Schizosaccharomyces pombe: one gene and its partner. The gene in region 1 interacts genetically with each later gene. Each region holds a gene or a part of one and is shown on either strand. Other genes may lie near its edges. The genes, in order: akr1 and ubc6.

Region 1 (3,932 bases):
AAGAAAGTTTTGCTTCCAAAATGTCTTACAGTTCTTAATTATGCTACCCTCATCATATGGATTGACTGTGGAAAGATTACGAGACAAAGAGGTAGAATTTTGGGAACCTAACTCAGCTCTCGATGGGAAACATCTCACAAAGCAATTTGATTCTCTAATTAACAATATACACTGATCCAATCCCAGGATACCACATACTGTACGTAGAAAGCTTCCATGAATTCCGTGACCATTTTTTGGAGATGAATTTTGCTTTGTAGGAGGAACGAGAGTTCCATATCGTTTAAATAGTCGGAATTCGGCTGTGGTCACGTTGTGAGCAACTTGACAAATCTGGGTAAAAGCTAAAACAACTACCCAACACCAATTCACAAACAAAGTTAGAGAAGCAACTAACACAAACATGTCTTTTAAAGACCACTGGCATATGGTACCAGAAATAAAAAGGCACCTATACGACTCGTATTTTTTTTGAATGGGGATATTCTGTAAATAATAAAATGCAACGTAAAAATAAATAGGAATTAAAGTAGACAATGTGAAGACAAAAAGAAGGAATGTTCTATGGTTCCGTGCCCCTACGCAATTTCCAGTCCAAGGACAATGGTGATCATAACGATTAATACACCTTTTACAAGCTCCACAATGATAAGAACGAGGAGGCTTAACTTGAAAGCATTTTAAACAATAATGAGATTGATTAAAAAGATCCTTGTCCAATAATTTGCTAATTTCTTCACGACGTTGAACGACGGCACCAATTTTGTCTACATATCCAGGATTTTGAAAAGCTGTACGAACATATAATCCAATACAAGTAAATGAAATCAAAACAAATAAAAGAGAAGAGAGAGGTTTTATGGGTAACGTCTTAGGTACTATATATAACAAAGAATGACACCATACCCAGAAGAAAATTGAGGAAAATATGCCAGCCAAGAATGGAGTTTCAAGATAGAAATGTACTATGTCAATATTCGCATGAATGCATGTTGTAATATATTTGAACGTAAAGTAAATCCACAAAGGAGCGATTATCAAGGAGATGACCATTGGGCAAATTGACATAATAAAAAAAAAGACGCCAGTAATTATAAAGGACGATAAAAAGCAAAAAATAATAAATGTTTTTTGCGAAAATTGAAATTTACTAGGAACAACGACCCATTTTTCAGGTTCTTCAGAGGTTTCTTTAACTTTTAATCCATTTGAAATTAATGCCTGTTTAAATAAGTGAGAGACGCGAAGTTCTGACGCTAGAGCCCAAGGGGTTTTCAGCTGTCCACTTAAATTAGCGGTAACTGCAGTACAGGGAATGCCTCCCTCTTTTAAAATCAGTTTCATGCATTTTAGATTTCCACCTACAATGGACCAATGTAAAGGGGTCATTTTATCTTCATCTGTAGCCAATACATCTGCACCCCATCGCAAAAGACAGTTTGTTATAGGCTCATTCCCATGGTATGAAGCCCACATCAGAGGTGTGTGCTGCTGATCATCACGTAAATCGACAGAAATATCGAGATGCAACAAATATACTACTAGTAAAGGACTTGCAGCGTGGACTGCCAAATGCAAACAATTGAAACCTTGTTTATCTTTGAGTAATGGGTCCGCACCATGCTGAACTAAGTAGTGAACAGTCTTCACAGAGCCACGTTTAGCAGCCCAATGTATTGGAGCGGCCTGTAAATCTCCGCCTATTGCATTCACATCGGCGCCATGTTCTAACAAAAATTTACATATTGGAATTTGCTGGTTCAGAGCTGCCCAGTGTAATGCAGTTGCTCCACCTTCATCTGTAGCATTAACATCTATCTTTTCAGAAGATATCAAATTTTTAACTGTGTCAAGTTCTCCCTGACTAGCGGCTAAAAATAATGAACCCATAAAGGTGCAGTTCAATGATTTTGTTGGTCACTAATTGTTACAAAATGTAAATCGGGAGGTTGCAAATTTCAGGCAAATATGAAAGAACAATAGGAATAGATCTGGTGGTCAAACTCCTAATCGTACAAAATTACATACAATCATGAATAAAAACGAAAAGAAGTAATTATAAATATAATAATTTTGCTCGTAGAAAGACACACTGGTTCAATGGTGTCTATAGTACGGTGCAAGCCTTTCGCCAGATTCATTGGTGGTGAATCGAGCAACCTTTATTCTGCTGTCATACTATCACTCCATCAGTAATGGTGTTCAAAAACTGAATTATACTTGGAGCGTTTACTATTTTTATACAAATAAAAAGAAATTTCCTTAAACCAGTGTTTAGTACGTTGATCCCCGGAAATTTTCTATTTCGCTGGCTTAAAATGCTTCAAATCCAATCCACTTCCAGCACAGGATAATTACATTTAAAAATAATACATTGTTTGTTACACAGCAGATGAGAAATTCCCTTATATCAAATCCAACAAAGGAACTTTTTCTTTTCAATATATAGATGTTGAGTTTGGAAATGATTAACAAAAGCAATTAACTTAATATTAGAGCTTATCGAATTCACCTTATTCTGTAAATAATAACAGCTTTTGAAGCTTTTTCTCTATCCTATCAGACCTTAAACATCTTTACTTCAGCGATATTCTAAATTTTTGTTGCCGATTTATTACAACAAAACCAAACGGGTTTAATAAAACTAAATTTCTACCATGAGTTTTACCAAGTTTTGCCGGGGATGTGGACAAACATTACAGTCCGCGAACGAGTCTGCTACCGGATATATAAAGCCACTAAAATTAAGTGGCATTTTTAGCAAAGGTTCAGTTTCTAATTTATTAAAGAAAAATCTCGATGAGCAAGCAATCTTTAATAATGCTTTTAAAAATCTCAACCCACAAATAAAAAAGCATTTCCCAAATACAACGAGTTTTCCTTTTCATGAAAAGGAGATTGGAAGAACTGATTTATTATGGTGCCAAAGATGTCATGATTTAAAATTTCATTCTCGCATACGTCCAAAGGAGTTGTTACAAGAACCCCAGACTACTCTACCAGATATCATTAGTACGGTGAATAATGATAAAAGTACTTGTTTGATAATACAGGTTATAGATGTTACTGAAGTTATATTTCAAGATTTTGTTTCAGCTACTCAATACACTCATTTCCCAGTTTTCCATTTATTTACGCATGCGGATGTATTACCTCCAAAAAAGCCATACTGGTTGTTTCCTGGGTTAGGAATTTCTTCAAAGTATGCTATGCTTTACACATCGCATTCTTTCAACCTAGTTGATAAGCTCTTGGGAAGGATAAATCCCTTGCTATGTTCGCGAGGTCATGTATATGTCGTAGGCGAAGCAAATTCTGGAAAATCTACATTGCTAAAAACTTTGGCTAAACGGGGAAATGGTGTTTTTAATGAGCTTTTGCTTGACAGTTTTTTACCAGGAACCACTCAAGCAATAAAAGGGTATCCTACACAATATTTCGGTTCCTGTTTTAAGCAATTATCTGAAGGCTTAATTTTTGATACTCCTGGATACCGTGGTAACTTGAAATCTTTATTACCCTGGGTTGATACTAAGCTATTGACAAGTCTCGTACCTAAAACAAGGTCTAGAAATAAGCAACTCACAAGTAAGCCTGTTCAGTATCGTGTTCGTTTCGGTCAGTCTATTATTTTAGGTGGACTAGTTCGTGTTACGCCTTTTGAAATAAATGAAGATGGAAATCATGAAGTTGGAAAGCCAATTATGTTTAAAAAGGAAGATCCTTCGAGCACCACGATACACTTTTTGTTCTCGACTTTAAAAAATAAGAAAACAAAAGGCAATACCAATAATATGAAACCTCTTTTGATTAAGTTATTTACAAAACTTCCCGCTCATATTACCTCTATAACAAAATTACAATCACTTGAAAATTCTACGAAAAATGATAATGTTCCTTTAGTAACTCACTCTCCGTCGCCGATGCATTCT
Region 2 (3,518 bases), 670 kb from region 1:
AACAGAACGAACGCCAGACAAAGCAGACTCGAGGATCCCCTTGAATTTTGAAGAAACGCCATAGCTTTGGTCTAGTTGAATACTCTTTTCCAAAGTTACATCGCTCAAATGATATCCGCGACTTAAAAGTTCAGAGATTATAGCTGAACGAGGCTTGTCTTCTTGACGAGCGGCTTGATCGCCTCCAGCACCTCCTTGATCGGTAGTAGAAGCAGCACCACCATCTTCACTGGTGATTTGGATTTTGTTTTGTCCAAGGAGAGCATCTTGCAAAAGTAAGGCCGTCTTGGTGGCGCTAGGGCGTTCAAATTGGATTTTCGCGGTTTGGGTTTCTCCAGATTTCTCGGTAGAGATGTTGGACACTTTACCGCAGAAAGAAAAGAAGTCTGAGATTTGTTTCTCAGTAACTTCAGGAGAGATGTTCGTTACAATAACTTGGTTGCTCATTACTTTTGTTTCAACTGGTAATATGGAGATTCAAAGTACGTTGAGTGCCATGGAGGCTGCTTTTAAGTAGTGATCATCGATGACGACATCCTCCCAATTACGATTAGATTGAGCCCAACGAAAAAACCACAAAAATGCAAAATTTCCTGACATTTCTAACTTGCCCTTAGCCTATATCACGGAAAGTTGACTTTGTGCTGCTTTGTTAATGCCACTACTTCATACTTTAAATCTGATATTACATTAATGAACGTGTGTTTTCAAAAGATTGCAATTATCGCGATAAGTGAGCCTAAATCAAAATGAAGCTGAAAATAGATGACAATTATCTTTTTATCTGAATATCACGATACAATTTTTATTGGTCACTGTAAACTAAATAGGATAACACTTAGATACTTTGCTGTACTCATGATTTCTTGACTTGGTATACTAGTTGGCTTTGTTCGTTGCATGGCAAAGTGCATAAATTGTGGAAAAAATATCCATTAAATTGCTATTACGAAGTAATTTCCGCTTCTACTATGTTTCGATAAATTCATAAACTTAGGACCGACATTAATTTTCCCGATATCGGCATATCCGGACAGTGAAAACTGATGTTTCTAGAAAACCGAATTTGCTGGATCGCCTTTACGGTCTTTCTAAAGAATGCGAAAGAAATATATGAATAGATTACCTCGCTTGTTCCTTTTCTCATGTTAGTCATCCAAATTGTTTCTTATTGAATAATGAGCAAAATTATCAGGTATATTGAGAAGGCAAGAGAAATATAAATGTTAGACCTACAATAAGTAAAACAAAGATAAGTTAAAGGCTTTCCTTGCTTCAAAGCATTTTTTAATCTATTTTCTCGATCTTACTTCCTCAATGTACATAGGTTAACAATATTTATATTTTACATTTGGGCTTAAGCTGCGTATAGAGAAAATAAAATATCATAAATATCATAGGTATATTGCTACAAAAGATAGAAATGAAAACCTCTTTTACAAGTAACTGTGTTATATTTACGAATTGGTGATTTGAATAAACCGTTGTACTTGAAGTTGGCACCTCACCTCGGAGTTTGTTGGTGTTTTATATTGATTAACCTACAAAGACACTTAGTCTAGTAGAGATTGTGCTTTGAATTTGTAAAAGACAAGAATCACCTAACTAGCCGCTAACCTGGTAATGTAACTGTGAGCGGATTATATGGTTACATGTTTTCTCACTTCCACAAACTTCACAAACACAACGATGGCGTCGAAAGGTGCTTATAAACGGGTATGGATTTATAATTTTAAGCTTCTTCTAATTATTTTAGTTAATGAAAGAATATCTAGCTCTTCAGAAAAACCCTGTTGAGCTTGTTGACGCTAAACCTGCAACTGAAAACATTTTGGAATGGCATTATATTATCACTGGCCCTCCGGACACTCCATATGAAGGAGGACAATATCATGGTATGTTTCTTTTAAATTTCCTTCTGTAATCAATATGTGCATGAACTTTTGGCTGTTGCCATCCTTTGCTAACTTTGCGTACAGGGACATTGATTTTTCCTCCCGATTATCCTTTTAAGCCACCTGCAATTCGCATGATTACTCCAAGCGGACGTTTCCAAACGAATACCAGACTTTGTCTTTCTTTTTCTGACTTCCATCCAAAATCCTGGAATCCCTCATGGATGGTTTCTACTATTCTGGTGGGACTCGTTTCTTTCATGACTTCTGATGAGATTACCACTGGAGGTATTGTAACTTCGGAGTCTACCAGGAGAACTTACGCAAAGGATACGAAGAGATTTAACATTATGGATAATCCTAAATTCTTAATAATGTTCCCCGAGTTAATTGACAAAAATAGGGAAGACATTGCCAAAGCAGCTGCTGAAGCGGCCCTAATCGAACCCCAACAAATTCACTCCACTCCTGTATCTTCCAATGAATGCAAGAAGAATGAACCGTTTAATTCAAAGCAAAGCTGGGTTAAAAGTCGCTGGAGCATAGCAGTTTTGGTGTTTTTTGCCCTTGCTTTAGCTCGTTTTTTTGGAGCTGATTCTTAAGATGTTATGCTTTGTATTTATTTTATTAACTTATGAAAGCGTTTTTGCATTTGATCCTCCGATAAAGAGATTAATGCCAAATAGCGCTTTGCCGTCCTTATATGTTTATTTTTTTTCTTTCGTTGCCTGTTGCCCCTTCATCTCTGCATCACATGTCGCGCTTCAATTAAAACTAAATGGAAGTTAATCTTTGTTCTAGTTTCTTTTTATAGACAATTGTCTCTTAGCAATTGCTTGATTTTTAGCTTACTAAACTACATTTTTTTAAATGTCGTCAAATGTTATTAAAGCTTCGACATTTCGGTAGAAAATAAAATTAAATTTTAGTTACTCAATTCATTATTTGTGATTTTCTTCAATCACTATCCAACTCGTTGCATATCCAGCGGCCACAATATAGGCCCAGCCTGGTAATTGAAGAGTTTTTGCATCATAAACATCTCTTTTATCATCATTCGAGGCATTTCCATGCTCATTCCAACCGTATATTAAAACACTTCCTTTCTTTGTCCTTAAAATATTGTGCTCAGTTCCACTGGCGATTTGGACGATATCACTTGCTTTTGTATGGGCCTTCTGAGCACGATCACAACGACCAAAAGCATAGACACAGCCTTCAGTACTTAATAGACTCAAGGTAGACCAGTTTGCTGATATAGAGCAGATGGAAGAAGACAATTCACTGTTATTTGCTTGCCAAGCATCACATTCTGCTGCTACATTCCACTTCTCCCCTCCTAAAACAATTACATGTCCTGTTTCTTGCAATACTGCACTGAACTGTACACCACATACAACAGCTTGAGCATGTTCAATACGCCCGAGAAATGAAACCTTGTTAACTGTTTTCATAACTACCGGTCCAAGTTGTCCTTTGCGGCCATCTCCACAACCATACAAGTTCCCTTCATTTGTAACACAAATCCAGTGTCTTAATCCAGCCGAGATATCAATAATGAACTCTTTATCGTCAAGGTAAGGAATGTCAATTTCCCTCAAACCTTGACTATTACTGCGATTC

Evidence for each region.
Region 2: mutations in akr1 (region 1) and ubc6 together harm fitness more than expected from each alone (negative genetic interaction), as found in Schizosaccharomyces pombe (one large-scale study listed by BioGRID).

Annotation. Positions count from the first base shown.
Region 1 is NC_003424.3:548,969-552,900, reverse strand, and holds the start of akr1 (palmitoyltransferase Akr1), read right to left. Parts: upstream 2,134-3,932; 5' UTR 1,891-2,133; coding exon 1-1,890. Other genes in the region: gep3 (GTPase-like protein), read left to right, coding at 2,658-3,932. UniProt on the Schizosaccharomyces pombe protein: Palmitoyltransferase specific for casein kinase 1.
Region 2 is NC_003424.3:1,214,100-1,217,617, reverse strand, and holds ubc6 (ubiquitin conjugating enzyme Ubc6), read left to right. Parts: upstream 1-1,669; 5' UTR 1,670-1,689; coding exon 1,690-1,716; exon of another isoform or gene 1,717-1,756; coding exon 1,757-1,895; exon of another isoform or gene 1,896-1,979; coding exon 1,980-2,497; 3' UTR 2,498-2,830; downstream 2,831-3,518. Other genes in the region: RNA-binding protein Vip1, read right to left, coding at 1-447; RCC domain-containing protein Ats1, read right to left, coding at 2,837-3,518. UniProt on the Schizosaccharomyces pombe protein: Catalyzes the covalent attachment of ubiquitin to other proteins. Functions in degradation of misfolded or regulated proteins localized in the endoplasmic reticulum (ER) lumen or membrane via the ubiquitin-proteasome system.